Elephas maximus indicus: one gene and its partners. The protein of the gene in region 1 purifies or fractionates together with the protein of each later gene. This does not show direct contact. Links are inferred from orthologs where the notes say so. Each region holds a gene or a part of one and is shown in the gene's direction. Other genes may lie near its edges. The genes, in order: KAT2B, HIF1A, TAF5L and RARA.

Region 1 (7,594 bases):
CAAGCAGACTAGCGAATTGAAGTCAGCCAGACACAGGGTTGGAAGAACAGAAAGGTTTATTCACAGTTTGCAAACTGGGAGACAGGCAGGGTCTCATGACCTAAGGATGCCAGCACTCTGGACCAGGGCAGATTTGCTCCTTTATAGGGAGTGACTTACATATGCATGAACAGTGAGGGGACGATCTTCAGTCCTTTGAGGTGTGCAGCCCCCATAATTTTAGGGAATGGGTTTTTGCCCACTGCTCTAAAAATACTGGGCAGAGCCCTGAAAAAATGGCATCGGCTTGCTCCTGCCACCCCCGGGAAGGTCATGTAGTGGGTAGATTCGGAGTCTGTGCTCCTGTGCTTTGGCCTCCTGCCAGGAGAAGACAAGAAACCTGTGGATTTGACCGATCATGGCGAAGTGCTGTAAAAGTTGTAACAAAAACATAGCAAGATTAGACTTTTCTGAAAAACTATGATGGGATGCTTAATAACCTTTTCATGACTGCCTGCTTTAGTTTGAAGGGTCAACCTTTAGATTAATGTTGTTGTTGCTAGGTGCCATTGAGTGGGTTCCAACTCATAGTGACCCTACATACAATAGAAGGAAACACTACGCAGTCCTGAGCCATTCTCACAATCAGGGCTATGCTTAAGCCCACTGTTGCAACCACTGTATCAATCCATCTCATTGAGGGTCTTCCTCTTCTTTGCTAACCCTGTGCTTTACTAAGCATGATGTCCTTCTCCAGGGATTGATCCCTCCTGATAACAGGTCCAAAGTGTGGGCGTCCTTGCTTCTAAGGAGCATTCTGGTCCTGCTTCTTGCAAGACAGATTTATTTAGCTTAATAGTTGAGTGCAAACCATTTGTGCCACTCAGCAACATTTAAATTCATACAATGGAATAGTATTCAGCTATAAAAACAGCTGAAATCCTGATTCATGCTACAACACGGATGAACCCTGAAAACATGGTAAGTGAAAAAAAAAAAAAAAAACTAGTCACAGAGGACCACGTACTGTGACTCCATTCATATGAAATGTCCAGAAGAGACAAATTTATAGAGACAGAAATTAGATTCATGGCTGCCAGGGACTGGAGGGAGGACAGGCTGAGAGTTTTCTTTTTGGGGTGGCGAAAATATTCTAAAATTGATTGTGATGATGGTTGTACAATTTAGTGAACATACTAAAGCTCACTGATGTGTACAATTTAATAGGGTGGACTTTATGGGATGTTAATTACATTTCAATAAAGCTGTCGTATTTGAAAAAAATTTGGAAAAAAATCTGAAATTAACATGTTGCCAATAAGGCTCAAGTTCTGGATCCCCTCTTGTTTTACCTTCCTTGCTCTGCTCTCCCCCATATCATGAAACTACGCTGAAGAGTTTGCCATGCATCCTTCTAGATCTTTCTCTTGCTTTTACATTTTTATTTGCATTGATTGAACATTCACAGAATTGCATTTATATGTCAATGTGAGTTTGTTTTTAACATAAATAGTATTACACTGTACCAGGGTTCATTCAACAGTGTTTCTTGGAGAGCTGTTATTGAATTGATACAATATAAAGGCTACTCTATTATAACAGCTGCATAATATTCTGTAATATAAATATACCACAAGTAACCTTTAGTGGTCAGCCCGCCCCCTATAATTCTCACTCCCTGTGCCTTTGTTTTTTTCTTTTTTGTGGCATCCTTACCTCAGTGAGTTGCAAATGTTTTTAAAATGAAACATCGTCTTTTATTTTCTTGGTATCTACAGGGTAACAGAGTGCTGTGCACACAGGAAAGCTTAAAGCTTACTAAATGCTCTTAATAGCCTGATTGTTGTTAGGTGCCGTGGAGTCAGTTCCGACTCATAGCGACCCTATTAGCCTGATTAGGAAGAGGCAATAAGGCTCTTGCATCCTTTGCCTTTGAAATTTCCCTGCCTGGTGCTCATAACACATTTTGAATATGCCTTAAAATGGTGGGCCTTCAGCCTAAGGCAGTGTGTCATCTGGATGCTCTGAGCAGGAAAATAATGAAAAATCATATTCAGTTGATGTCACAAGCCATTCACCATTCAGACAGTGATGGTTTTCAGAGTGGTTTGAAATGAGGCTGGTTACTTCTGCTTCAAAACATTCTGGGAATAGCCTGCTTCCTGAATTCTGGGAGTAGCTTAGGAGTAGTTGTGAGAGGTAAGTTAATATTAAAGGTAGATTTTTCTCCCAACATTTTATTATAAAGATTTTCAAACGTACAGATTAGTTGGAAGAATTATCCAGTGAACACCCACCACCTAGATTCTACCATTAACATTTTGCCCTACTTGCTTTATCACACATCTGTTCATCCACTCCTGTGCCCATTGATGGATGCATCAATTCATCTTATTTTCTGATGCATTTCAAAATAAGTTGTAGATGTCGGTACACTGCACCCCTAAACTTTCAGCATGCATATCATTAACTGGAGTTCAGTATTTGTTTATGATTCAGAAAATTTTTTTGAAATTCACTTTACATCAAATTAAGTGCACAGATCTCAAGTAGACCATTCCAGGAGTTTGACAGTGTCTACAATGTAACCCAAACCAACCAAAAAAAATCACACCTATTGCCATTGGTTCCAACTTATAGTGACCCTAGAAGACAGAGTAGAGCTGCCCCACAGGGTTTCCAAGGGGCGACTGACGGATTCAAACTGCCCACCTTTTGGTTAGCAAGCCAAGCTCTTAAACCGCTGTACCACCAGGGCTCTAACCCAAATCACTACGTGATATTGCTCGAGGATTTTTAAGAGATTTGCTAACATTCTGATGCTCGAAAAGTCTGATTAGAGGATCACGACTTTTAAGACTCCCATCCTGCTTTGGCAAGAATGACCAAAAAAAAAAAGAAAAGAAAAGAAAAAAAAATTGCAAAACACTTCAGCAGAGCCAAGTGAAGCACCTTAAGCCAAGAAAGGAAGCACTGAACTAACTGTCCTGATGGAAACTGATGAGTCTTTCAGACCTTCAGAGTGGACTCAAATTAGGAGTGGAAATTTCCTTTTGCCCTTTCTAACATCACTGTTTCAACGTACAAAGTTATTTTTTTTTTCAATTTTTACATACCCCTCTGCATGAAAAGCCAAAAGAACAAAGAAAATCTGGGAAAAAGGATAGAAAAAAATTCAAGGGGGGACAGAGGGAGGGGGAGGAAGGAGGGGAAGGAATATGTTTGTTTCCCGGGGACAAACACGGTGGCTTAAGGCGTGTCTGGCCTCCTGTGGGGGTGGGTGGGAGCTAGAAGGCATCCGAAGAATCCGATAAGCATATTATGACCCATTTTACATATGATAACACTCGCCCTGCAAAATTAGGGCACTTCTGAAGGATACTGAGAAACAGCAGTGGGCCTTTAAAAAGTCTTCGAAAGGCCGACCTGGCACGAATTTCAAATGCAAAACTGAAATGTGGAGTGAACATTCCAAAACACCACCCTCCAGGCCAGCAACAGCATGAGTTGAAAACTCACAGTTCAGCTAAAAAAAAAAAGTTTGAGGCCAAAATCTACACTTCTCCTTTGGACGCTGCTTAAACAATTTTTTTTTTCCGGTTCATATGCATGCTGGTGGCATCAAAGTTAAAAACTAAGGAAAATTATAAAAAAGAAAATGGCAATGATGATGAACCCTAACATTTTTCCAACTTTTCCGGCTTAGCACAGTTTTATTTTGACAGTGCTTTTAGGCAATCGTTCTTCTAACTATCAGCACTTTCAAAAAAAAAAAAAAAAAAACCTACCGAACGTATTGATTAACAGTCTATAACAGTCTATTCCCTCTTGTGGCAGATTTGGTCCAGAAGTTGCTATAGGAAGAAAGCGTTTTAATTAAAAAAAAAAAAAAGTTTGACAGAAATGTATTTTAAAAGAAAACACCAAGTCTTTTATTTTGGTGAATTAGCAACAAAGAAAGGATTAGCATGGACGGGTACTTTTCAAAAATATTTTTTTTCCTCGGGCTCCCGCTAGGGTGGAGGAAGTTGTCTCGCTCCGAGGGAGGGTGGGACGGAGTGGCAGGACAAACGACTGGAGTCCCCCGCCCCTGCCCCAGGCTCGGGAGCGCGAGGGTCGGCGGAGGGGCCGCCGGGCAAGGCGGGGGGAGGCGGCCAGCAGGTGCCTGGGCTCCAGCCCCCTACCCCCACCCTCCACTCCACCCTCACCCCCCAGCCCGAGCTTGGCCTCGCCCCCTGCCGGGTGAGCGCTAGGTGCCGAGGCCTGGGGGCAGGGGGCGCAGACCCCGCGGGGAGCGGAAAGAGGCCCAGGGCGCCCCGACCCCAGCACCCCCGTCGGTGGCCGCGAGGACATGTCCGCGGCCCCCGAGCGGAGCCCAGCCCCGGGGAGCGAAGCCGGGCCAGGGCGTGTGTAGCGGCGGCGGCAGTGGCGGCGGCGGCAGCCGGGCCGCGAGTCCCCTCCCTCCTGGGGCGCAGCTGCCGCCGCCGCCACCATCAGCGCGCGGGCCGCGGCCGGAGCGAGCGGGGCGCGCGGCGCGCGGGGGAGGGCGGGGGCGGGGAGGGGGGTGGGCGAAGGGGCGGGAGGGCGTGGGGGGAGGGTCTCGCGCTCCCGGCGACCAGACCCGAGAGGGAGACCCTGGCGGCGGCGGCGGCGCCTGACACTCGGCGCCTCTTGCCGTGCTCCGGGCCGGCATGTCCGAAGCTGGCGGGGCCGGGCCGGGCGGCGGCGGGGCAGGAGCCGGGGCGGGGGCCGGGCCCGGGGCGCTACCCCCGCAGCCCCCCGCGCCGCCGCCCGCGCCCCCGCAGGGCTCCCCGTGCGCCGCCGCCGGGGGCTCGGGCGCCTGCGGACCGGCGACGGCAGTGGCGGCGGCGGGCACGGCCGAAGGACCGGGAGGCGGCGGCTCGGCCCGGATCGCCGTGAAGAAGGCGCAGCTGCGCTCCGCTCCGCGGGCCAAGAAACTGGAGAAACTCGGAGTGTACTCCGCTTGCAAGGTACCGGCTCGCCGCTCCCAGCCCGCGGGTGGGGGCGAGGGGCCCAGCTCCGGGGGACCCCTGCCCCCTCTCCCTCCGCCCCCGCCCCGCCCCGCCTCCCGCCTCCCGCCTCCCGCCTGGGGCCTCTGCACCGCGGAAGTGCTGCTGCCGCCCGCGCCCAGTTAGCTCCTTCTTGGATAAGAGTCCTGTTGGGTTGGGAGAAGGGGGATCCCCAAGATCGAAAGCCCTTTCTTCATTTCTCCCTCTCGGACCGAGTAACCTTAGCTTCCGAGCTCCCGGGCTGCCCTGGGGCTTTGTCGCTGTGTAGGAGCTCGCCAGAGGCGCCTACCGGAGAGTGCAATGGTGCTCACGGTGTGGCGGGGCGCCCCAGGGCCAGGGAAGCATCTTGGGGACTGAGCAACCCCCTGTGAGCCTGGCCTTGCCCCTTGCCCCATTGGGAGGGGATGGGTGCAAGGAGTGAGGGTGGAAAAGGCTCCCGAACTCCAGGCACCTGGGGAGCGAAGGGACGGAACGCGCGGGATGGGAAGGTGGGCACAGCCCAAGGAGAGGGTCCTGGAGCGCCTGGGGGGGGGGAGGCTCTGCGGCACGCGGTGACAGCACTGTCATTATTGTATTATTACTTGTTTAGTTAAAATGCTGTCCCAGCTGCTCGGGGTGTAAACAGGATTTGGCGAGGTGACAGCCCAGCGCAGCGGGCGCTGCTGCTCAGTTTGAGGACACACGTTTCAAGCCATCCCCTTCTCCGTCCCAGCTTTCGGCGCCCCATGGCCCCCCAGCTGTAGACCCAGATGTAGGGGCTGCACTCCTGGGGAGGGACGATTGCCCGAGGCCGCGGGGCAAGCTGGCCCTGCGCTGTCAGCAGCGGCTTTGTTTTGACAGGGTGACAGCTGAGGGGGGCGGGGACTTGGCCTTGTCAGCTCCTGCGGCCTGTGGCTGAGGCGGGGAAGACACACTCACAGGCACTCACCACCTCCCGTGTATTCCTCCCGCCTGCTGCAAACAGGGTCAAGTTTCCAGGGTTCCAGATTGCCACTACCGCGCTACAATGGTCACTTCTGAATTTTGGTGTAACGGTTATTCATCCAGCTAGAATATCTTGACCCTCCTGGTGATGCTTTTTTAGTATTTACACGAAATGTCTGTGTTTGCTCTCATCCCAGCCATTACCATCCTCATATATATATTGAGCACCTACTGTGTACCCTACACTGATTCAATAAATATTTGCTGAGTGAATGTAGGAACCAGTACAGTGCTTCCCAGACTTTAATGTGCATGGTAATCACCAGTATTAAAATGCTGATTCTGAATTACTAGGTCTGAGGTGGGGCCTGAGACTCTGCATTTGTAACAAATTTCCAGGCGATGCAATGCTGGTTCAATTCCAAGGTAGCAAGATCTAGTTCAGACCTGGATAATATGGTATTAGTCCCTTTTGAATTCAGCCAAGAAAACTGGAACTGTAGAGTGATAATGTCATGTGGTTGGTATTTCTGAAGAAGGAATGCAAAAAAAGATAAAAAAAAAAAAAAAACGAAAGGCAAAGCTAGGAGTTTGGTTATGAAGGGCATTAGACAGGATAGTGAGAACAGGACCTTGAGTGTAGTTGGCAGATGAGAGAGCTATACGCAAAATCAAGAACAAGTTCAATTATGCAGTGGGGTTGGAGTTTTGCAGGTGGGGTTGGTTCAGGTAGTTCAGGTAGCGACTGCGTCAGCTGGGTGTTTCTGTCCTGGTGTTTTATTGGGTTCCCATCGTAAACACGTTTTCTCTCTGCTCCCTGGCTGTTGCCTTAATATCTGATGACTTCCTAAAGTTTTGGTTCTGTGTAAAACCAGGAACCTATGTGCCCTGCACTGGTATTTTTGATCCTTCCAAATTTCCATGAGTGAGATGTAGTACCTTTTCTAAAGTTTGTGACTTGAGCTTCATGTTTCCATTTACTACCAAACTTACAGGAAGGAAAAAACCTCTCATATCTCCTTTAGAGACTTACCTTCCTGCTCTTGGGAGACTCTGCAAGCATCAAATTTTATTTACTTATTCATTCAGTAAATAATATAGAGGGGTCCCATATGGGTGCCAAGTACTGTGCTGGGGCTGAGACACCCAGAATCTATCATGGTGTTGCTGGACAGCGTGCAGATGAGTGTGCATCTCTTGTCTTCAGGACTTGGGGAGTTGGAGAGTGAAGCAGTTACAATAAAGTTTGGAAAAACTACTTTCTCAGAGTGGTGTGGGAACCAGAGCAGGGCAGTTCACTGGGTACCAGGGGAAGGGTGGGGATGGCTTCCTGGAGGAAGTGTCAGTGGGTGCTATAAGAACTCTTGCTATAGCGCAGAGAGGTGGGGTGAAACTTCTTGAGAAGGAGAAACTGAAAGCTGTGCTGAAAGCTTGGAGCCAGGCCAGCAGGAGCCAGGCCTCCACTGGCCAGGTGATCAGGTTGGGGGGTGTGGCCAGGAGGGCACTGGGGCATCTGGGAATCTTAACCTGGAGAGTGACATTATCAGATTTTCTTTTTGTTTTAAAGGGGCTTGGTTGAGTGTGAGGTGGTGCCAGAGAGCAGAATCCATGTTTTTTTCTGTTTGTCTCTATATTTCATGTAAAAAGCCCCGAAGGACAGA
Region 2 (7,976 bases), on another chromosome or scaffold:
CATCTAGCAAGGGCTTATTGTTCGACAGTGTTTTGGCAGAACTTCAGCAGGCTGTATATAAAACTTGAAGATGTGTCTCCTCTAGGGATATGTGATCAAATCTGAATTTTGGCCCCCAATAAAGAATAATTATATTAATTCATATCACAATCATAACGTGCTCAAAATCTAGTGGGTGAATTCTTAAAACTCCTACTATAGAATTCATGAATTTATAGTGTACTTTTCACTCTTTAATTTCATAAAAATCAAGTAAATCTAACCTGGTTTGAACTAAATTTTGAAATTGTTAGTCATTTATTTACAATGAACAGATGTAGTGTTCTGTTTGTGCAGCCGAAAAATGATGTGGGATATGCAAAATTAGAGTAGTCATCTACAAATAGTCAGGACAAGGAGAATAAAAATCATGTTTTTAACTGATTAGAAGAGTGGATATAGGTAGAAAGCAATTTTCTCTATTTGTAATTTCTTTGGTTGATAGCTTTCACAACAGATAAGGACATTGACATGTGGGGTTTACCCAAAGCAACGTCTGAAACTTTGTCTTTCTGAAGTTTCCAGCTGCTAAACTTCTCTTTTCTAACCTGCCTAGAGAAACCTAAATATATTTGCAATAAAATTGAAAAGATCCTTGCTCATAAATATTAATGTTAACATTAATTTTATTTTAAAATTAGTGCAGTTTTGCATTCTACTTCATTATACACCTGTTTATTTTATTATAAATTATCTTAAATATCAGATATATATGACCAGATAATTTTTTGCAAGAAACAAATTCGGTGCGTAAACAAAGCGTATACTATTCTATCATTTGTGCAAAAATGATAGGACACATAGGTCTTTTGGCATACTAATAAGATATCTCTGGTTAGATATATAAACAATTTGTAGCAGTGGGTACCTTCAAAGAGGAGGAAGAGGCAAGGGAGATCAGGGAGACTTAGTTTTCTGTATTTGTTCATTTGCAGTATTTGAGTTTTTTAACTACATCCTTAACATATCCACATATGGATAGCATAGCATTTCCATAACATAATATGTATGCTATAACATCCATAACCATGCACATATGTAGTTATGGCAAGATACAAAAACTTGACTTCAGAAGGGTATTCATTTTTTTTTATTGTACTAAAAATGTTGATCATAATTGAAATGTGCTAATGTTAAATTTTCAGTCGTCTATCATATTCTTCATAAACTGAGGCGAAATACATATTTATTTTGTTTTGATCCTTGAAACAAAAAATAAATAAATAAAAGATTTGCAATGCCTGCTATCTTCTAAGCGGATCCCTAGTGGCAGCACAGTGGTCAAGAGCTACAGCTGCTAACCAAAAGGTTGGCAGTTCGAAACCACCAGGCGCTCCTTGGAAACCCTATGGGGGCAGTTCTACTCTGTCCTTTAGGGTCACTGTGAGTCGGAATCGACTCGATGGCAACAGATTTTTTGGTTTTATCTTCTAAGCACTTTTCTTCCAAATTGTACCCTTTTTTGTTGTTGTTGCCAGAGAATACATAAAAGGGTGAGGGGGAACCCACCACCACCTAAGGGTAACAGTAAGCCAAGAATCACATTAGCCACTAAATCTTCTTATATAGTTTGATACACTTCAAATTACCTGAATCTGATGTTTCACTTTTCAAAAGACTAGATGTTCTATATTACTTAGTAGTAATATAAATTCCGGAGCCCCTGGGGGTGCACAAGGATAAGTACTCCACTGCTAACCGAAAGGTTGGTCCAGGTTTGAGTACACTCAGAGACGCCTCTAAAGAAAAGGCTGGGTGATCTACATTTGAAAAATCAGCCACTGAAAACACTACGGAGCACAGTTCTACTCTGACACACCTGGGGTTGCCATGAGTAGGAGTCACTCCACGACAACTGGTTAATATAAATTTCAAGTTTCACCTCGTTTGCTTCTCAATCTCTGCCCAACTTTCTACTAAATGCAGGTTAAATCATTTGCAAGTAACCTTGTAGTCACTTTAAAAGTTCTGCGAAGTGACTTGAAATGAACCTTGGACACTTAAAAAGATCAGAAAGTGATTAAACATACTTATAGTAATAACCTATACATTTATTAATAGGTGGCTGTAAAGGGAGTGATTTAAAATTTTATCCCACAGCAAATTTTGCTTTTTGGAATTCTGTTATTTAACAGGATTGATTGAATTAGGGATACAGTTAGGGTCCTCTGTAATTACATGAAAGCTAGTTGGTTGAATATTAATGTTTTCCATGTTCCTATATGTGTGTGTATGCTACTGCTTTCCATGTTCATGTTTGTATATACATACATACATAAACATTCACACATAAAATATAGTTTATACATTTTGGAAAGGAAAATTGAACTTTGGGGAATATGTTAAAATATCTTTTGGTGATTGAATGATGATCTTATTTAATCTTTTAAAATGATTAAAAAATTTTTAATGACTTAGATTTGCTCTTACAAAATACTCAACTTCTGATGTCACAGACATTATACACTACAGCTTTAATTGCTGGCCAGAGAGAACAGCTTATAAGAATAATGAGAAAGAAAACGACTGAAGATTTCTATAGCCATGGTCATATACAAGGATGGGAACACCATGGGCAGTTGCAGATTGGAAATAGAGAAGATATATGTGAATTTATATGAACCTAATTGACATGCTTGGATAGCAGAGGCACAAATTTGGGGGTAATAATAATGAAAACAAAACCAACAACAATACTAACAGCTAGCATTTATCAATTGCTTACTAAGTGCCAGGTACTGTTCTAAGTGCTTTACACCTATGTTCTCATTTAATCGTCCCATAATTCTATGGCACAGACCGAAAACTCATTGTCATCAGGTCGACTGCAACTCAGGTGATCCTATAGGACAAAGTAGAACTGCCCCATAGGGTTTCCAAGGAGTGGCTGGTGGATTCAAACTGCCGACCTTTTGGTCAGAAGCCGAATGCTTAACCGCTGTGCCACCAGGGCTCCATGGCACAGACACTTATCCCTATTTTACAGATGAGTAAACTGAGCAAGAAAGGTGAAATGACTCCCTAGTTAAGTCAGATATTCAAGCCCACTCTTAACACTGGAGCCAGTGTTCTTAACACTACTTTTGTGGAATATTAAACTAAAAGGTTTTATAACATCCAGAGTTAGTCGTTCCACAATTTAAAAAATGAATAATTATTTTCAGTCCTTTCCTCATTCCAGGCATTTTCCGTGGTTCTTTTCTAGAATACGTATCATTAGGCTTTGTAGATCTGAAAAACAAAAGTGATATTTGAGATCAATCTTTAACCTTATCTTTATGGCTCTAATTTAAAAAAATCTACTGACCAGTTAAAAACGGTTTAATGCTATCTTATATAGACCATTGTTTTTATGAACCAACATAATTGAAATCCGCCACAGATATCCACATTAATTAATATATAACCCAAAGCTAGACAGTAACAATATGCTGATATGACAAAGGTGAGAAGTAAAATCTAGTGTCAAGTGGAAATATGTATGTAATCCTTATTTGCTGAGTTCAAAATATATTCTTTTTTACCTTAAAAGACTGACAAAGTTAAACTTACGCTTTCAAAGTCAAAAACTGATTCTTAATCAGTGGCTGTCAAGATCACGTTAGTAATGAAGCAATACTGATCTCACCCTACGGAGTTAACTCGGGTTCCGTGGCCTCCCGCCCTAGGTGAGGGTTTGGCGAGTCCTTCTGTCTCTGTCTGTCTAGTCCACAGGGCAGTCAACTCAAGGCGGTAAGTCTCAATCTAAAGATTGTCTTCCACTTTTAATGAGGCAAGAAACCAGAACAAAAGTCTGTCTAAAACCTTTTTTCCGATTCCTTCCCTGAAGCTCAGATTTACGTCTCATTTATTAAGACTACTTACACCTATTTGTAAATGCTTTGAATAATTTCAGATGTTAAGATTTCTCGCAACGCTAACTCCTTCCCTTGAGAAGTTTACAATAAGAAGGATTTGTTTTAAATTTTTATTTGCATTTACTTAGTAATCAAACTCCACTGCAGAAACAGTGGAAGACGAGAGTTCCATTAGGTTCCAAGGCAGAGTGCGGTGACGTGGCCCGTGGTTGGGTAACCTGGCAAAGAAAGACCCCGTTGTAACATTTCTGAGCAAAAAAACCATGGGGCTTGCTGCCACGACGCCAAAAGTCTGCTTTTTTTGAACTGAAAACTCAGAAAAGCTGGGCGGCAACCCTGCCCAGCACTGCCCCAGGAGGGAAAGAGAGCGGGAGACTTAGATTACTGCATCTAGAGGCAGGAAATGTAATGCAGGGTTGGTACTCTGCAACCGAAATCCCTTTTCGGCACTGCCTCCCAAAGCCAGCCACTCCCCCATCTAGGAGTAGGCGCACAGTCCCCAGACTCGGGCTCAGCCTCCACCCAGGTCCTTTCTCTTTCCCCCGCAGCTGCACACAGACGAGCACGTGAGCTCTGGAGCCTGTCCCAGCTGTGCCCAGATGACCGCCGCCTGATTGGCTAAGAGCGACGTGGGCTGGGGTGGGGACTGGCCGCCTGCTCCGCTTGCCATTGGTTCGCGAGGAACCCGCCTCCCCCTCAGGTGAGGCGGGCCTGCAAGAGCGCGCGGCGGGCTCCGCGGGCGGGCGCGCTCCCGCCGCCCCGCCCCTCCCCGCGAGCCCGAGCGCGCCTCCGCCCTTGTCCGCCCCCTGCCGCTGCCCCTGCGCCTCAGAGCACAGAGCCGTCTGGTCTGAGGGAAGGCGAGGATCGCCCTCGCCGCCTGTTCGGCCAGTGCATTGGGCCCGGCCCCGACAAGCAACCCGCGGAGGGGCTCTTCCGAGCCAGCCTTGGACCTTCGCGGTTGCCGCCTCCTCCTCCCGCCTCTGGATTTGGGAGGGAATTCCCGCCTCGCAGCCCCCGCCTCTGGACCTGCCTCTTGTCTCTCCGCGTGTGGAGGGCGCCAGTGCTTAGGCCGGAGCGAGCCTGGGGGCCGCCGGCCGCGAAGGCATCGCGGGGACCCATTCGCCATGGAGGGCGCCGGCGGCGCGAACGACAAGAAAAAGTAAGCCCGTTCCCTCCGCCGGCCCCGTTCTCTACCGGCGCCCCCGCCCCGCGCTCGCGGGCGGGCCTCAGCTTTCCTGGGGGGCCGGCCTTTTTGTTTCTGCCTGTTCTCCCCCTCCCCTCTTTCCCCCACCTCGCCGGTCGGCTCCCCCGCTGTCCACGTCGCCATCTTGTCGTGGGGGGTGGAAGACACATCGAAAGTGCTTTCAGGGGCCGGGGTCTGAGCCCTGCCTGCGCGGCCTCCGTCCCTGTCGGCCGGGGCCTGCGGCGTCGCCTTCCTACCCGCCTCAGGCACCCCGCTGGCGTTCTGTCCCTGCTGGGACAGACTGTGCCCAGTCTGAAAACCCCGGGAAGAGAAATAAACCGCAGGTCGGTCGCCGCCGTTTGCACCCGGAGCTTCCGCTCCTTCCCGCCCCCCTCCTCTCGGCTTCCATTGAAAACTCGGCCCCGGGGCGGGCCCTGCACGCTGGTCCTGACTTCCCAGGGGGCTCGGGCCCGGGGCTTTCCGACGTAGGGGCTAGGGTAGGTGGAATGTGATCTTGCCCCGCACTAGTCCGGACGCCAGGGGTGTCTTTGCCTTTGTGCATTAGGGATTTGCCGCCACGGCCTTAAAATACTAACTTTTTAGTTTTGCACGTGCAGGTTTTGTTTTAATCGCCTGGAAAAACTTGCCTAGACGGAGAGTCGGAGCCACGGGAATTCAAAGAAATAACGTTTTAAAAAGGACACCAGGATTAAATACTGTGTTCCTATCACTTGTCACGAGAGCCCGACGTTCGAAATGAATATATGCCTCATTCATTCTTGAAAATATGGTAGTTGAAAATGTAGCGGCTAGTTAAATTTAGAGGAACAGTTTTATGGGGATTGAAAATAAAAATGTGACCAGAGCAAATGAAATGCAGCACTGAAATGTTGCGAATTTTTCCAAACCCTGCCTCATGGTCCTGAAATTGAAGTATATTAAAGGAGAACCTTCAAATACATCATAAGTAAATAATCATACTATTATAACTTACTGCAAGTTTATAAAACACCACTTGAAGTTTGAGTCCAAGGGGTACATTATAGAAGGATTAATTGCGACGGGGATGAACCAGCGGAATTAAAAGTGATCCCAGGCCCCTCCCCCCCAATTTGGTCCACTTTGGTATTGTAACCTTTGAGGAAATCATTTTAAGGAATTGAAGATTCAGAGTTTGTGGATAGTGGCCTGGATTTACGGTTAAGTCCTTCCAATGCTCTGGGAGAGATTAATTTTTCTAATCAGTATCAACGGAAGATAAACTTGTTTATATTCTTGTTATTTTGTCGATATCGTATCTTGGTCTTATTTAAATAGAAATGTTAGCCTTTCAATTTGCATATACCAGAGAAAGCACTCATAAAATTCAAGAAGTGGGCAAACAGAACAGGCCTAGACTTAATTCCAAGAATTGCCAGGAATTAATTGCAGTTAATTTTGCATAAGTGATTACCATGCTTTTGATGAAATGGTGAGGCTGCTACATTGTAAACCTAAGGCAGATTACCTCTGGGTAGTGCCAACTTTTTGTCCTTATTACACTTTGAATCCTACTTAATAAAATGTATTAAGTTATGCACCAGTCACTTCCTTTTTGTATGGTATATTATACTCATTTTTTTTTTGCAGTTGATCAGTTGAGAATATTATAAGCAACTTTAACATGAATTAGCTCCTGTGCATCACCTCCAATTTTAAAGGAACTCTTAGATTTTCCTCTTTCCCATCTGTCATTTAAAATTAAAAAATATATATCATTTTGAGCCTTAGATTGGTTAATCAATCAGATTTAACAACCTTGGATCAGATTGATTCATATTTCTCTATATAAACAAAAAACGCATTGGCCATCTCATAGCGACCCTATACAAGAGTAGAACTGCCCCATAGGGTTCTTAATGTAATTGAAAAATTAAGTTGAACATTTAAGTGGTAGCAACTGAGCAACTTTTGTTGTTATTGTTATTAGTTGAAGTCGAGTCAATTCTGATTCATGGTGTACAACTGCTCCAGGGTTTTCAAGGCTGTGACCTTTCAGAAGCAGATCTAAGCCAGACCTGCCTGTCTTCCAGTACACCTCTGGGTGTGTTCAGACCTCCAACCTGTGAGCTGATAACCCATTGCTGTGAAGTTGATTCCGACTAATGGCGACCCTATACGAGAGTAGGACTGCCCCATAGGGTTTCCAAGACTGTAAATCTTTATGGGAGCCACATCTTCCATGGAGCAGCTGGTGGATTCGAACTGCTGAGCTTTCAGTTAGCAGCCAAGCACTTAACCATTGTACCACCAGGGCTCTTTTTTGGGCTAGTAGTTGAATGCTTAATGGTTTGGCCACCCAGGGATTCCTTTTAAACCAAAAAAAAAAAAAAAAAAAAAAAACCCATTGCCATGGAGTCAATTCCAACCCTATAGGACAGTAGAACTGCCCCATAGGATTTCCAAAGAGCAGCTGGTGGATTTGAACTGCCAAACTTTTAACCACTGCACCACCGGGGGTCTTTTGAGATGTTGGTAAAAGATGCCTTTTTTAATTCTTTTCTAACTAACAATTTTAGAACTTAAAGATAATTGAGGGATTGAGGGCCAGGAATTTCCCATATATGTATTGGGAGTGAGATAAGGGGAATAGTCTAGGATTCCATGCGATTTTTCCATTTTAAATGAGTATCCAGAGTTGGAGTGGGGAAATTTATCTTTTTTAAAGCAGTATTGGTTTAGGGAGGAAAAAAAATTTGAAGGATTGGAAGAAATCAGAACAGAGTGGATATGGTTATAATAGGTTTAACATAGGTCATTTTATGTTGATTCCTTAGTTCAGGAACTGCACTTAAAACACATGCATATAGGATTTTAGATTTCAAAGGAATGTGAAGAGATTCATTGTTCTGTCAGAC
Region 3 (8,009 bases), on another chromosome or scaffold:
TGGGAAAAAATCTTCGGCAATGCATATCTGATATGGGACTGATCTTTAAAATACATAGAAAACTTAACAACAAAAAGACAAACAATCCAAGGACATAACAAACACTTCACCAAAGAGGACATTCAGGGGGCCTATAAATACCTGAAAAAATGCTCATGATCATTAGCCATTAAAAAAAAACCTGTTGCCATCCAGTTGATTTCAACTTATAACGACCCCACAGGACAGAGTAAAACTGCCCCATAGGGCAAAACTACGAGATATTACCTCAGACCCACAAAGATGGCAATGATAGGAAAAAAAAAAAAGCAGAAAACAAATGCTGGCAAGGTCGTGGGGAGATTGGAAGTCTTACACATTGCTGGTGGGATTATAAAATGGTACCACCACTATGAAAAACAGTATGGCACTCCCTCAGAAAGCTAAAAATAGAAATACCTTACGATCCAGCAATCCAACTCCCAGGTATATATCCAAGAGATGTAAGAGCAGTGGCACGAATAGACACATGCACACCTACGTTCACTGCTGCATTATTCACAATAGCAAAAAGAAGCAAAACAACCTAAGTGCCCAACAACAGATAAATGGATAAATTATGGTACATACACACACTGGAATACTATGCAACTACAAAGAATAACGAGGAGTCCACCAAACATCAGATAACATGGAGGAACCTGGAGGACATTATACTGATTGAAGTAAGTCAATCACAAAAGGACAAATACTATACGGTCCCACTATTATAAAAAGTCAAGAACAGACATACACACAGAAAGCAACACTTTGATGGTTACCAGGAATGGGAGGGTGAGAAGGGGGAAATCACTTTCTGGATAGTAGATACTTGTTATTTTTGGTGAAGGGAAAGGCAATACCAAATATGGGTAAAGTCAGCACAACTTGACCAAGGTAAATAAAAACACTGAGAAATACAAAAGAAAAAGGGACAATTTTGGTGAATGCTATAACACACATAATTTTGGAACAACAGTAACAAGAACCAAAATACGTGGTTACGTAGGTAGATATGTATGCACACGTGTGTAAGAAGGCATGGGTGAGTAAATGCATGTGCACGTATAGGTGTATCTGTGTTGTTGTTGTTGTTAGGTGCCGTCGAGTCGATTCCAACTCATAGCAACCCTATGCACAACAGAACGAAACACTGCCCGGTCCTAAATCATCCTTATAATTGCTGTTATGCTTGGAGAAGGACATCATGCTTGGCAGAGTACAGAGTCAGCGGAAAAGAGGAAGACCCTCAACGAGGTGGACTGACACAGTGGCTGCAACAAGCTGTTATCTATAGGCATGTGTACATACATGTTTGTGTGTGCTGCAGATAGATCCATAACAAAGCACATATGGGCACATTTATGGAGGCTTCCCAGATATATCCAAACAACTCATGGGATCAGTTTACTGGGGTAAAGGGCATGGGATCATAGTCTCAGGGACAACTTAGTCAACTGGCATAACTTAGTTCATAAAGATAATGTTCTACATCCCGGTTGAATAAGTAGCGTCTGAGGGCTTAAAAGCTTGCAAGCAGCCATCTAAGATACAACTATTAGTCTCTACTCCTGTGGAGCAAAAGAGAATGAAGAAAATCAAAAGCTCAAAGAAGAAACTAGTCCACAGGACTAACAGCCCACAGAAATCATGGCCTCTTCTAACCTGACACCAGAAGCAGATGGTGCCCGGCTACCACTACCGACTGTTCTGACCAGGGACACGATAGAAGGTCCCAGATAGAATTGGAGAAAGATGTAGAACGAAATTCAAACTCCTAAAAAAGTCATCACCCAAAAATACCCTTTGAACTTGGAACTGAAGCTACTTCTGGAGGTCACCTTTCTGCCAAATAGTAGATTGGCTTTTAAAATAAACAATATCAACCGTGAGCAACGCGCTCCCTTAAACAATCAGGAAAGGTGTGCGTCAGGGTTGTATCCTTTCACCATACCTATTCAATCTGTATGTTGAGCAAATAATCCAAGAAGCTGGACTATGTGAAGAAGAACGGGACATCAGGATTGGAGGAAGACGCATTAACAACCTGCGTTATGCAGATGACACAACCTTGCTTGCTGAAAGTGAAGAGGACTTGAAGCACTTACTAATAAACATCAAAGACCACAGCCTTCAGTATGGATTACACCTCAACATAAAAAAAACAAAAATCCTCACAACTGGACCCATAAGCAACATCATGATAAATGCAGAAAACATTGAAGTTGTCAAGGATTTCATTTTACTTGGTCCACGATCAAAACCCATGGAAGCAGTGGTCAGGAAACCAAAGACGCACTGTACTGGGCAAATCTGAGGCAAAAGACCTCTTTAAAGTGTTAAAAAGCAAAGATGTCACCTTGAAGACTAAGGTGGGCCTGACCCAACCCGTGATGTTTTCAATAGCCTTATATGCACGTGAAAGCTGGACGATGAACAAGGAAGACCAAAGAAGAACTGACACCTCTGAATTATGATGTTATCGAAGAATATTGAATATACCTTGGCCTGCCAAAAGAACGAACAAACCTGTCTTGAAAGAAGTGCAACCAGAATGCTCCTCAGATGCGAGGACTGTGCATATAGTCAGAAGTAATCAGTCCCTGGAGAAGGACATCATGCTTGGTAAAGTAGAGGGTCAGCGAAAAAGAGGAAGACTTTCAACGAGATGGACTGACACAGTGGCTGCAACAATGGTCTCAAGCATAACACCGATTGTGAGGATAGTGCAGGACTGGCAGTGTTTCGTTCTGCTGTACACGGGGTCGCTGTGACATGGAAACGCCCTGATGGCACCTAAGAACAACATAGGGGACCAAACAGTCAGCATTTACCCTAAAGCAAAGATGAAAAGGTAAGGAGGGAAAGGGAAGCTAGATCAATGGAAAGAGAACAAACACAATTGAAATAATGAGAATACTGATATATTGTTAAAATTGTATCATGGAATAATTTGTACAAAAATTGTTAAATGGGAACCTAATTTGCTGTGTGTAAATTTAACCTAATACACTCACATACAAAACCCCAATGGAAAAAGCGCTGTATATGATCAAACTCAACAAGCACCAGAAAATGAATAGTGTATACCTTATTGTCTACATAACATTTACCCAAAAAACCAGACTGCCATCAAGTCCATTCCAACTCATAGCGACCCTATAGGACAGAGTAGAACCGCCCCATGGGGTTTTCAAGGAGTGGCAGGTGGATTTGAAGTGCTGACCTTTTGGTTAGCAGCTGTACCACTTAATGACTGTGCCACTAGGGCTCCAACATAACATATTTAACGAACTAAAGCACATTGACAAAACTTCTGAAAATAGATCTACACATAAGATGCCTGAACCCAAAAATTTTCTGGTGGAAATTCAAACAAAAGCAAGCAACATATGGATCACACACATGTATAAATATTCCTGCTGTCCTCAAACTCAAGAGTTTCCCCAGAAATGAGTGTTCAAGAATTCAGCTGGGGAAAACATTTTGTTTCAATTACTTGTGGAAAGAGGTTTGTCAAACATGGTTTTAAATTTAAAAAAAAAATTTAAGCTTTTGCACAAATTTTCTAAAATACACTATGCACTATGTATTAGTACCAAACCCCAACCCAGTGCCGTCGAGTCGATTCTGACTCATAGTAACCCCACAGGACAGGGTAGAACTGCCCCATAGAGTTTCCATAGAGCGCCTGGTGGATCTGAGCTGCCGACCCTTAGGTTAGCAGCCGTAGTACTTAATCACTACGCCACCAGCCTTGGGTATGTACCAGCTCCATTAAACAGGTCAAAGAAATAAAGAAGCTACAATTGGGAGAAGGTAATATTTCCCCAAGTGAAAAAGAAACATATTAACCCAATCCCAATAGAAATATCATGATTTTAGTTGCATCAGTAATTTCCCACCACAAATTTATTCATTTATGTATAAACTTAAAAGCACTGATACACACTGCTTCCTAAAAGACTGCAAAAAGCATATAATTAAAAGCTGTAAAAATAGAATGCAATAAATTCATGGAAAAAAGCAAACATGCCAACCACCTACAATTATAAAACTGACATAAACTTGGCTTCTAGTTCCCTGACAGTTAAAAAAGGAACCATACCAGGTTAAATCATTTCCCTTATATAAAAGTAAACAAGCCTGTTCAAGAGAGAAAATTTTTCATGATACCCCGTAAAATCATCACAAATAAAAACAAAGTAGAACACAAATACCAAAAAAGATTGCAGCCCTATGATTCTAATCTAAGTTCTGTCAAAGCAAAAGCATTTGGCTGGATCTAGTCAGCGTTTTTCAAATCCAAGGGTTCCGAAGCCTTCGAGACCTTCAGAAGGTATTCTCAGTAAGCGCGTGGCGAAGGAGCGAACCCTGAGGAACATTTAAGGTCCGCACAGCACCCGTCAATCGGTTCACTGCCGAGAACAGGTGCAGTCACGTCCTGTCAGTTTCTCTGTGATGTCAAAACGCTCAACACCAACTGAACAACTATCTCCTAAACTTCTAAGCGCACCACGTTCGCCTGCCATCGCGCCGGCTCCAGGGGCCTAACGAGCGTTTGCTGCACTGGCTAAGGACGCCCGGGGCGCACTCCAGGGCCCCCAACGCCCGACCCGCTCTGGTGGGCTCGGCTCGTCTTGGCAGGGCGGCGGAGAGCAGTCCAGCTCCGGCAGCGACCCGGTTAGCACCAGGCGCTAGGACACGGCCCCAGCGAAACGGCAGGAGCCCCAGGGAGTCGCCGCAAGCAGGAGAAGGGCGAGCTGCAGCGAGTCCCGCCGGCCGCGCTCAGCACTGCGGCCCGGGGGTCGGCGCTCACCTGGCCGCCCGCTCCGGGCCCGGCTCCGCGGCTCCGCCGGCAGCACCACGTGGGAGACCCGGCCCCGAGCTTCTTCCGCCCCGACGCCGGCGGGGGCGGCGCGGGGGCGGGACGTCGGGCACGCCAGGCATCGCCAGCCGAGCGCCGAGGCGCCTCGCCCATTGGCGGAGACGGTTGCGCGTTGAGGGCCAAGCGGCCCAGCCCCGCGGGCCCGCTCCGTGTCAGTCAGTCATGGAGCGGCCGCCCGGAGCCGCCGCGCTGGCGGCGCGGAGCGGGGAGCGGGGGCCCGGCTGAGCCGGCGGTCGGAGCGAGGACCTGTCGCAGAGACAACGGAGGCGGAAGCGGCCCGATCCCGGAGGCGGCGGCGGCGGCGGCGGCGGCGGCGGGAGGAGCCGGAGCCGCCTGGGATGTTCAGTGAGTGCGGGGCGCGCGGGCGGGCGGGCGCGACGCGGAGGGCGCGCGGGCGGGCGGTGTCCCGGGCCGGAGCCGCGAGGCCTAGGCGGGGCGCGCCGCCTGCCGTCGGCCGCGTGGGGGCGGGGAGGCGCGGAGCCCCGGAGCCTGCTCCCCGCGCGCCGCGCTGGGCCCGGCCGCCGCCGCCGCCTGCGTTCCGCGGAGGCGCTTGCTGCTCTCGCCCGGGGCTGGTCCTGCGGGTGGCTCCGGGGCCGGGGAGCTGATGGGAGGGAGGCAGCTACGGGGAAGGGGTCGGAGCTGGACGGCCGAGCGCGCCGCGCCGCGCACCAGAGCCCAGAGCCGCGTTTCTTCTTCTTTTAAAGGAAAAACGAAGTGTCCTTTGGACAAACTCAGGATGAAACTTAGCACATGGTAACTGCGCGTGGATGGATGTGAGACCCATCTCCTGCGTGCGACACAGTAGATCTCGAGTCGGACTAGTTGCTGGAGGATACTGACCTGCAAGGCTGCCTTCTAGGTTTTTTAACGAATGACAGCTGCTTAACATTTGTACGTTTAGGGGATAGTCTTACTTTACCACCTTTTACTCGCAAATCTCCAGGGCTTTTCAAAATATGATCAGATAAGACGGTCTGAAATGAGTTGATGGTTAGAAATCGTGGTGTCATTTTAGACTTAGCGGAAGTGGAGTACAGGCACGCTTTATGCAATTCTATCAGTTGTGAAAGTGTTGTTATAATGTGGATCTCACAACTTGTATTGTTTTGGGATCAGAAAGTAAGTCTGCCAGTTCCGTTTAGCGTTCATCTTAAATTACCTCAACTCTGACCTTGCAGATTCAAATCTCTCAGTGGTAACTCCCGCTAAGAAACAGTTGGGCGCTGTGTTGAGAAGACAGTGAGGGCGGAGTTTGCCTCCTGTTAGGTGATACAAGTGAGTACTTGATGGGGAGGAGGGCGATACGAGGTGGCTCCACAGCCTTGGTCACAGCCCTGCTGAAAGTGGAGTAGGAAGGGAAATTTAACTTATGTTTATGGGGTAAGTGCATCGGGCCATATCTTTAAACTGTGGGAAGGTTCATGAGTGGATAGAACTTGGTAACCAAGTAGACCTAGGGTTGAAACTATGTATCCATCTGTGTAACCTCTCTGGGCCTTAATTTACTCATCTGCAAAAAGGAGTAATGCCTGATAATTTACAAGTGGACTTTAAAAAAAGAGAAACAAAGAAATATGTGCCCCTGAAACTACTGCCATGAGATAGTCTTTAAACCTTAAACCAAAAATATCCCCAGAAGTCATCTTAAAACCGAACAGCTTAACTAGTAAAAAAGGCCTGCCTTGAGCAGTGCGCGCTTTAGAGAATTAATCTGTGTGGGATCAAACCGACAACAGATAGGAACCTTAGGGGGCATGTGAGTTTGTGATAATGAGGGAGGAACGACTCAGAAAAGGAGGGTGAGAATGGTTGCACAATTCGAAGAACGTAATCAGTGTCACTAAATTGTCCATGTAGAAACTGTTGAATTCGTGTATCTTTTGCTGCGTATGTTCTCAACACCAACAACAAAATAAATAAAATCTAGGGGAAAAAAGACTGCGAAAATACCTGACATTTGAAAGACTCTGTAAGTATCAGCTATTATAATTTCCTTCTGCAAAATGCCTTCTGGGTTCTTTGTAGGCTGAAGTTTTTTGTGTTAAGTGGGCTGCATACTAGCTTTGGTTTTCTTTATGAATTATAAATCCTCCCTGCCTTGAAAATCAGTGTTAACTAGAAAAGCAAAAGGTGGGCTTGCCTTGAGTGTTTTTCCTTTTCATCAACGATTAGTGTCTCTTGGAATAGTTTTGTTGTTCCTGTCTCTAAATGTAGGGTTTGTGTGTGTTTCTGTGATTCTGAAACTAGGTAAAGGACTCACTTCACTGCTCAGTAACTTTGTTGTTGTTGTTGCAAATGGTATGCTAGGACCTATAAAGAACATCTTTGGGGGCAGGGAGGGGTTTTGGTTTTTGTTCATTTGTTTTAGCTGGAAAGGCCAAGGGGATAGTCTGCCTAACTAGCATGACTTACTGGACTGTACCAGATTCAAGCGTCCAGCCTCTCTTCCATGTGCTGCACTGATTGTTCTCTCAACAAGCATCTGTTAAGCTGCTGCTGTTGTGCTCCCCCAAGAAGCCCTTGGTCTACAGTAGGATCCTTTAAATAGCAGGATTCTGTAAAGGGTAGGAGCTCAAACCCTGCAGCCAAATGGCCTGAGTTCCAGCACTGCATAACCTTGGACAAATTTTCTCACTCCTTAGGCCTTCTCATTTGAAAAATAGTACGTACCTCATAGGGCTGTTGTAAGGATTAAAGGAGAGAATCTGTGTAAAGCACCTAAATGGTGTCTTCCTCGTGGTATGCCTCAGTGAATGTTAGGTATTAGTCGTGGTGGTAGTATAAGAAACAGGCCTAGTATGATGAGTGCTGTGAGAAAGGTTTGTTCCTGGGTGCAGTGGGTGGAAGGGCCTGTGATCAAGAAAGCCCAGCTGAGCTGTGAAGCATGAGTAGAATTCAGCCAAGCCAGGTTTGAGTGCCAATGTAGGGGGGACTCTGATTAATGGAGGGATATTACCAAAGCCCCCGAGGTGAGGACGTGGGTTGGGACCAGCTGGTAGAGTGAGGAAAGCCAAGAATTTGGTCTAGATAGGTAAGCAAAGGCCACATTAGTGTAACTTCAAAAATGACAGTGGAGGTTGAATTTTTTTCATTCTTAACACTA
Region 4 (7,658 bases), on another chromosome or scaffold:
ACAGTAGTATGCTCTGGTCCTCAACAAACTTTTTGTAGGGAACCTCACTGACGAGGCTTCTTTATCCTACTCCCCACCAAACAAAGGCGCTGAGGTGGTTCCTCCTTCATCTCACCTTCTTTCCCCCAGTGGGGAGGGGGCTGGGCCTTTGGTGTTCTGGGTATACCCTTCAGAGACCCAGTGGCCTGTGGGATAACAGAAGTCCTCTCCAGGTCACTGTGGGGAGGGGTGGGTGTTTGTCCTGCTACCAGTCTCCCAGGGAGCTAGAGCAGGAGGCCCCAGAGATGCTGCAGGACTGCCCCCCAAACCAGCCCCTAGCTGGGACCTAGTCTCGAGGACTGGCAATTACTGTGGAGGTTTGAGATTCTGTGTGCATTGTGGGAAGGGTCAGGGTTCTGTGTGCTTTGGGAGAGGGTGTCAGGATTATGTGTACTTTAGGGGTGAGGGGTCAAGGTTGGGTGTGTGTTGGGAAAGGGGTTAATGGGCTTGTGTGTATTGGGTGGAGAGGGTCAGAGAGTTGAGCATGTTTTGGAAGAATCAAGTCAAGCACCAGGGAGGGGATCTCAGCTTGTTGGTGTGTTGGGGTTGGGGTGGGGTAGCTTAGGGCATAGAGTATGAAGGGGAGTGGTATGTGGATTGCTATATGTGTGTTTGAGGAGGGAGGGTCTCTATTTCCTTTTTTTTTTTTAATAATTTTTATTGTGCTTTAAGTGAAAGTTTACAAATCAAGTCAGTCTGTCACATATAAGCTTATATACACCTTACTACGTACTCCCATTTACTCTCCCCCTAATGAGTCGCTCTTGTAGGCTGGAAAGGAAAACTGCCCTGCCTTGTTTGTTGCTTGCCCTCAGAATTCAGGGGCAAAGGGGTCTGACTGGGGGCTTGGAGTACGCAGTGTGGCTTAGTGGTTAAGAGCTTAGATATTGGTGCCGGTTCTGGGTTCGAGTTCTGGCGTTGCTGCTTGCTATGTGTTGGTAACCTTTCTTAGCATGTTTCCTTGTCAGCCTAACAAGAATATTACGAGAACTTCCCTTAGAGGATGAGAATTAGGCAAGAACATAGACGTAATGACCTTAGCTGCAGCCTTGTGTGTGATGGTGGGGGTGCAGCGCCTACCACGTGGTAGTGAAAAGGAATTCAGGCCCTTTCTAGGTGGGAACTGGAGAGAAGGAATACCTACATCTGTGGGGCACCTACTGTGTGCTGAGGACTTTGTATATGTTGTACAAATCTTAATCCTTACAGTCCTGGGAGTGGGGCTTGGTTCCCATTTACACATGAGGAAACCGGGGCTGGCAGAGGCTAAGTGAGGGCAGAGCTGGGTCTGTGGGGTTGATAGCTGCAGGAGGGGCTTGTGGGGGCACTCCTGTGTGTGGAGAGCCTTGGGGGGTCAGTGCCATTGTTGACACCCCTGCCCCATGGCAGAGACCCTGCTTCTTCAGTCTGACCCCTGTCTTCCCCAGTAGGGGGCACAGGGAAGGACCCAGGCCACACTCCCTCTTCTCTGTTTTGGATGCTGAGGCTGGAGGGAAAGGGAGACTAGAGGCCAGGAAGATCCGCATCCTATCCTGGAAGCTGCAGATACAGTCTGTTAGCAGCCGTCCCCAGCCCGGAGTCTGCCCGCTGTAGCCTGTGGAGTCTGCAGAGCTCAGTGGGTACCCTCCTTCCAGACAGACACAGAAGGAACAGAATGGAAAAGCCACAGTTGTTATTCTTATTTTGTTTCAATTTGGGGAGTAGGGGCAGGGAAGTTGGAAGCACTCAATAGAGGAGCCAGGTGATGAGAGCCCCAAAAGAGTGGATCAAGACTTTTCTGTCCACATACTTGCTCTGTGTGCCTAGGACTGGGGGATGGCCACAGGATCTCTGGGTGTGCCCCTTCTCCTTGTCCCCCTTCTCTGCCACTTCCTCCCCTTTGCAGTCAGGGAAGGCATCCTGGAGGAAGGTGGCTGGGGCCTTTCCCAAGCCAGCTGCCTGTGCATCCTCCCTCCCTCTCCCTACTCTTTCCCTGGACAATAGGAGGGACAGCCCAGGGGGAGGGGGTATTGCCTAGCAAAGGCTTTCATAGGGTCCAAAATGCAGAATCAGCCAAAAGACTATGATCTGGGGCTTTGAATGAAAATGGGGCCCCTCACCTTTTATCTCCCAGCATTGATAATGCAGCGGCCCCCTCATGGGCAGGATCCCAGAAAGGGCTGGGGGAGGGGACAAAGGAAAGGAAGCCTGTCGCCCTCTCCACCCCATACCAATTGACATATGCTCCTGAGGCTACTCCCATGCAGGGCCTGACTGCCCTTTGGGGGTAACATCTGAGGAAGGAGGAAGTACTTCTCTTCTCCAAATCATTTTGGGGTGGCTCAGACTGCTTCCCTCCTCCAGCTCCCTCCTCTTCCCCCTCCTAGGAACGTGGGCACAGTACTGGCTAGGTCAAAAATAGAGGCCCTTCCCACTTCATTTTGATTTCTGGGTTGCTGGAAACCCCAGCTAGCCCATAGACCACAGCTCCCTTGGGCAGAAGTCTTAAAGGACACCTCTTCCTGCTCGGCCTTCAGCAGGTCGCCCTACCTCTTTCTGAGTCTGTTTCCTCCTCTTTAGATCCCTTCCTGGCTGGGCCAGTTGCTGTGAGGCCACTGTGACCCACTTGCTGGCCAGCGCTTGCTGGCGAGGGCTTGGATGAGCTGCAAGTATCTTGCAAGGGCAGTGATGATGGGGTGGAGCTAGGCATTGTCCTGGGAGATAGTCACCCTGTACTGGGACCCAATGTCTGCCTGGCACCGGGCCTCATGACTTCCTGTTTGTTGGGCCTCCAGATAGGGTTGGGGACAGGAGGGAACCCTGCCTGGCATAAGGTGGCCAGTTCAGCTCAGCCCACATGTGCTGAGGGCCTAATAAACGCAAAGCCCTGGAGGGGGGTGCGGCTGAAACAGGCCCCAGAACTGCCTTTTTCCCTCCTCTCCCACTGCCCTAGGACATGGCGTTCTGCTCTGACCCACTGCACGACCTTGCTCTTGCCCAGAACAGCCATCTCACCCCACACCCCCAGGTTCTCCTCCTGTCCTGCTCTGGAAATACTCTCCATCCTTTAAGGAACATCTTGCATGCTGCCTCTTCCCAGAAACCTTTGCAAATGTTTCCCCCTTTTTTTGCCACACTGTCTCCCCCTTCCTTGCATGCCTATGGGTCCTTATTTTTTCTCAAATAACACTCATTTACCACCTAGTTACACTACCCCGTCTTGTTCCTACTGTGAATTGCTATCACTTGGGAGGCCTGTCCCTGATCATAAGTTCTTTGATGGCAGGGACAGGGTCTTGGGTCCCTTAGTGCCTTGTAGCTCTGAACACAGAGCCTGGTGCATAACTGGTACCCAGGAGCTATATCATTTGGGAGGAAAGATACCAGGGTCTGTGATTCCTTGGCAATCTCATATACTCCCAATGCTTGCATACTTGCTCCAGGCCCCAGCCTTCCAGACCTCATATCTGAGTCCCACACCCACCTGTCCCAATAGCCCAGTGGACTTCTCTCTTTTGCGGTCTCAGGAGGAACTTTGCTGTTGCATAAGCCATACACCAGAACGTCCTCTCTGCTACCTCCTTTCCCATCCCCACATTGATTCTACCTTTAAAGGATCTCGTGACCCCACCTTCCTCTGTTCATCACCACTGCTAATTTCCTAGCCCAGGCCACCATTTTCTGTTGCCTGACCTGTTGCAGTAGCTTCTAACTTGTCTGTTGCCCTCCTACAATCCATTCTTTCCACAGCTGCTAGGAATATCTTTTGGGGCTATTAATCTGATCTTGCCTCTCCCCTCCTTGGAACCTTTCTGTGGCTTCCCATTGCGTTTAAGATAAAATCCAAAAGCCTTATTGGGGCCTTACAAGCCCACCTGTTCTTGTATCCCTTTTTCTCTTGAATTCTCTGCTCCAGCCACCCTGGTCATTTGTCAGTCCCTTGAATTAACTCACCAACTTCTGTAACCCCAGCACCTTTGCACACACTCTTACTGAGACGGTACTCTGTCCTACTCTGCCTGGTTCACTTCTACTCCTTCTTTAGGTTTCTGCTTTATTTTGAGGTCTTCCCTGATCCTTCAACCTAAATTAGGTACCTCCATTAATTTTCCTTTAAAGCACACTATGCTTATGTCATAATAGCACTTGTCTCAGTTTGCATTTATATATATGTGTGTGCATATATGTATATATGTCCTGGTGGTGTAGTGGTTAAGAGCTGTGGCTGCTAACCAAAAGGTCGGCAGTTCACATCCACCAGGCGCTCCTTGGAAACCCTATGGGGCACTTCTACTCTGTCCTTTAGGGACAGTATGAGTTGGAATCGACTCAATGGCAATGGGTTTGGTGTGTTTTAGATATATATATATATGTATACATGTATGTATATATAATTTGTGATTATTTGCTTAATGTCTGTTGCTCTGTAAGGTATACAAGGTCAGGGACTGTTTTGCTCACCAGGGTATCCGCATAGGAGGTGCTCAGAAAATAGTTTTTCTTGAGATACAATCCAGTTGGCCTGGCATGGTGGGAACATGGGCTTTGGCAGCAGAAAGTTCAGATATTCATTGTGCTCTTCATTGGTAGTGTGACCTGGGAACACCCACCCGTAGCTTTGCGGAGATCTCAGTTTATTTGTCAAATAGGAGTAATGCCCATTTATGTCTTGGAGTTCCTGTAAGGATTAAATGACAACATACATGAAGAACCTGGCTACTAGAAGAACATCCTTGGGAAGCATGTAATTTCCCATTCCTTTCTTTTTCAGAGGGAGGGAGCTTGGCGACAGGGTAAGAGGTGGGTAATGGGATGCCCCCTCCTCTAGGGTCATTCCCTCCTTCTAGGGAGCTACCTAACCTTGGTTTTTATTCAAATGAAATAGGCAACCTTGGGCTTCTGGGAGAAAGTGGTCAGCTGGAAGGCACCAACCCCCTCCTTTTCTCTCTCCAAGGCTGGACTGTGAGGTGGGGGCCCCCATCCTGGTTCCTGGGCTGGGAGACACTCTAGGCGGAGGAAGCATGCAGAGCAGAGCTTAGGGAGGAGAGCCCCCTCTATGTGTGTGTGTGCCAACAGCACCCGCCCGCGCTGCCTTGTAGGGTTCTGGCGGGCGGGAAGCCGGAGTCACACATGATGTCACAGACAATGACACAAGCCGGGTGTCTCATTCCGACACAGCGCCCCGGCTACGCAGTGTCACACCCCGGACACCCGACATGCCTCGTTCCTGGCGCTAACACTCGGTCGCTCACACCGCAGCCCTTACCCTCCCGTGTCCTCTCTCCCAGTGTATGGAGGAGCCGGCCAGGCCCGGCTGGGCAGGAGACCGGCCGGCCAGCCCCGGGGCAAGGCTGGTGAGCCGGTGGTGAGCGGGTGTTGTCACGGGCGGCGGTGGGTGGGTCATCCGGAGGTGAGGCACCGCCAGGCGAGTTCAGCCGTATTATATTAGGCAAATGAGACCCAGGCTAGGTGGGGGTGTGTGTTAGGAGGCGGACACCGAGACACCACCGCCTCCTCCTGCTCCCCCCTGGTTTGGCAGGGTATTGACCAAACCATCTGGGAGACCGGGAGGCAGAACGGGGGTGGGTGAAGACCCCCTCCCACGTCTGTCCTTGCCTCGGCCCCGCAGCCCACTCCTCTCCTGGTACCCTGCCTTCATCTGTACTCTGCTTACTCCTCCTCTTGTGCCTTTCTCCCCTTCCTCCCCCTCTTTTCTCCTCCCCTTCCCAGGCTCCCAATCCTCTCCTGTCCACATCCCGCCTCTCCCTGTCGTTCCCTGGTTCCCAGCGTGTTGCCCTCTGCAGCCAGACCCGCTAGGGAAGGGTTAAGCCAGGGGCGGTGCCTGAACCGGGCGGGGTGGAGGGGAGGGGGTGGGGCCTGAAGAGGAGGGGGTTCGCTGTGCTGGGGGTAGGGGGCACGGCGGGCACTGCTGGGGACCCAGCGAGGTGCCTGCTGCTACCCCGGGCCTCGGTGGAGGCGGAGCCGCGTGGGTCCCCACCCCCACCCGGAATCCTCACCCGGAGAAGCCCGGGAGCCCCGGCTGGGAGGAGGAAGTGCTCGGTGACCCCCTCCCGCCGCCCTGCGCCAATCCCACCCCCTGCCTGCGGACTTGGGGAGCGGGTGGACTCTGCTTCGGACACGAGGAGACTGAGACGGGAGCCCCTCGAGGTGAAGCCGCTGAGTTCCCGGGCCTCCGCCAGGCATTCCCTGGGAGAGCCGAGGGACACCCTCCCCCCAGCACGCACAACTTCCACGCTTTTCACCTGGGACTGGTGGAACTGCCAGCGGACTTAGACTCGGGGACTTAAGGGCAGGGGGCGGCTCCCTGCCTGGGCCACCAGTAGAGGTGGGGGGACGTGTCCCTCGCCCCCAGCGGCTTTCCACGGATGGCGCCCACGGCTGAGTGAGAGGGCGGTGCAGGACTTCCCCGCCCGGACCTCTTGTCTTCGCGGGGGAAGATGTACGAGAGTGTGGAAGTGGGGGGGCTCACCCCTTCCGCTAACCCCTTCCTAGTGGTGGATTTTTATAACCAGAACCGGGCCTGTTTGCTCCCGGAGAAAGGGCTTCCCGCCCCGGGCCCCTACTCCACCCCGCTCCGGACTCCGCTTTGGAATGGCTCAAACCACTGTACGTACCGGCCTCCCCTCTCTCATTGTAGGAGCTGCTGATGGGATGGGTGGCGGGGCCTTCACTCCTACCCAGGGATGCGAGCCTGGGGCACGTTGGTGGCTTGTTCCGACCCTTGACTTTCTCCTTAGTCCCGTTTGCTCAAACTCAGATGTCCTTGCTGGACAATTGGTGCGCCAGCCACCAACCATTGGGTGCTGTTTCTGTTTTGTTAGGTCTGAAGAACTTTGGGGGTTCTTTCTTTCAGGAGACATTCGTTCCTCTCTCCTCCCACTTCTTTCAGGGAAAATGAAGCCCCTTTCCCCCAGTTTATATTTTCTTGCTTAGAATCCAGTGCTTTGAAGCTGAGTGGTCCTTTCTCCCACCCTAGAGGGAGGGGTGAAGGTCCTGTCTGTGGGCTTGCCTGCTCTGAGGAGGAGGGGCCTCCTTCCCAGATTCTGCTCCTACCAAGGTCTGAGGGAGAGCCCCCTCCTGTGCAGCAGCTGCTGCCCCCAGCCCCTGCTCTTTGGACAGTAGAGTGTCAGGGGAGTGCTGCTGGCAGTGGGGTGTGACAGAAAGGGGAACCTGATCAGACACCCGGCTGCCATCCTAACCAGTCCTTACACCTTGGGAAGGGGCACCTGATCCATCTAGGGATTGTCCTGGCCCTAGACACTTGGTTGTCATCTTTGAGACTCCTGTCCCAGGAGTGGTGAGAAGCTGCTCTGGTGGGGAGAACCCCCCTCCCCCTAGTCTGGTTTGTTCTCTGGGGAGAAGTTCCGTTTTATGGGTCTGGGGCTACTCTGGAATTGAGGAATGCATCTATTCTCAACCCTGCTGTTTCCATTTGTTACCCTCTCTACAGTCAGGGATAGGGCCAGTCACTGGACTGTTACTTCCTAAGAGGGATGCTGCTAAGGACTCCTGGTGGCCTGGTCACCTTGCTCACCTGCTGCCTTATCTGGGTTCATGCTCCTCTGGAAGGGAAGGACTCTGAGCATCATCACAGGTGCTCTCAGGGCTGGGGTTACACA

Evidence for each region.
Region 2: the proteins of KAT2B (region 1) and HIF1A purify together in Homo sapiens (affinity purification with western blotting; 4 studies listed by BioGRID and IntAct, with this or other methods). This does not show direct contact. The link is inferred for Elephas maximus indicus from reciprocal best matches to the Homo sapiens genes KAT2B and HIF1A.
Region 3: the proteins of KAT2B (region 1) and TAF5L purify together in Homo sapiens (affinity purification with mass spectrometry; 5 studies listed by BioGRID and IntAct, with this or other methods). This does not show direct contact. The link is inferred for Elephas maximus indicus from reciprocal best matches to the Homo sapiens genes KAT2B and TAF5L.
Region 4: the proteins of KAT2B (region 1) and RARA purify together in Homo sapiens (affinity purification with western blotting; 3 studies listed by BioGRID). This does not show direct contact. The link is inferred for Elephas maximus indicus from reciprocal best matches to the Homo sapiens genes KAT2B and RARA.

The regions. Positions count from the first base shown.
Region 1 is NC_064845.1:19,719,311-19,726,904, reverse strand, and holds the start of KAT2B (histone acetyltransferase KAT2B), read left to right. Parts: upstream 1-4,582; 5' UTR 4,583-4,670; coding exon 4,671-4,970; intron 4,971-7,594. Other genes in the region: uncharacterized protein LOC126068496, read right to left, coding at 3,943-4,473. UniProt on the Homo sapiens protein: Functions as a histone acetyltransferase (HAT) to promote transcriptional activation. Has significant histone acetyltransferase activity with core histones (H3 and H4), and also with nucleosome core particles.
Region 2 is NC_064828.1:74,095,457-74,103,432, forward strand, and holds the start of HIF1A (hypoxia-inducible factor 1-alpha), read left to right. Parts: upstream 1-4,971; 5' UTR 4,972-5,020; coding exon 5,021-5,055; intron 5,056-7,976.
Region 3 is NC_064821.1:210,299,842-210,307,850, reverse strand, and holds the start of TAF5L (TAF5-like RNA polymerase II p300/CBP-associated factor-associated factor 65 kDa subunit 5L), read left to right. Parts: upstream 1-4,999; 5' UTR 5,000-5,251; intron 5,252-5,610; 5' UTR 5,611-5,656; coding exon 5,657-5,659; exon of another isoform or gene 5,660-6,875; intron 6,876-8,009. UniProt on the Homo sapiens protein: Functions as a component of the PCAF complex. The PCAF complex is capable of efficiently acetylating histones in a nucleosomal context. The PCAF complex could be considered as the human version of the yeast SAGA complex.
Region 4 is NC_064837.1:47,497,836-47,505,493, forward strand, and holds the start of RARA (retinoic acid receptor alpha), read left to right. Parts: upstream 1-4,651; 5' UTR 4,652-4,830; coding exon 4,831-4,985; intron 4,986-5,188; exon of another isoform or gene 5,189-5,196; coding exon 5,197-5,372; intron 5,373-5,915; exon of another isoform or gene 5,916-6,476; coding exon of another isoform or gene 6,477-6,645; intron 6,646-7,658. UniProt on the Homo sapiens protein: Receptor for retinoic acid. Retinoic acid receptors bind as heterodimers to their target response elements in response to their ligands, all-trans or 9-cis retinoic acid, and regulate gene expression in various biological processes.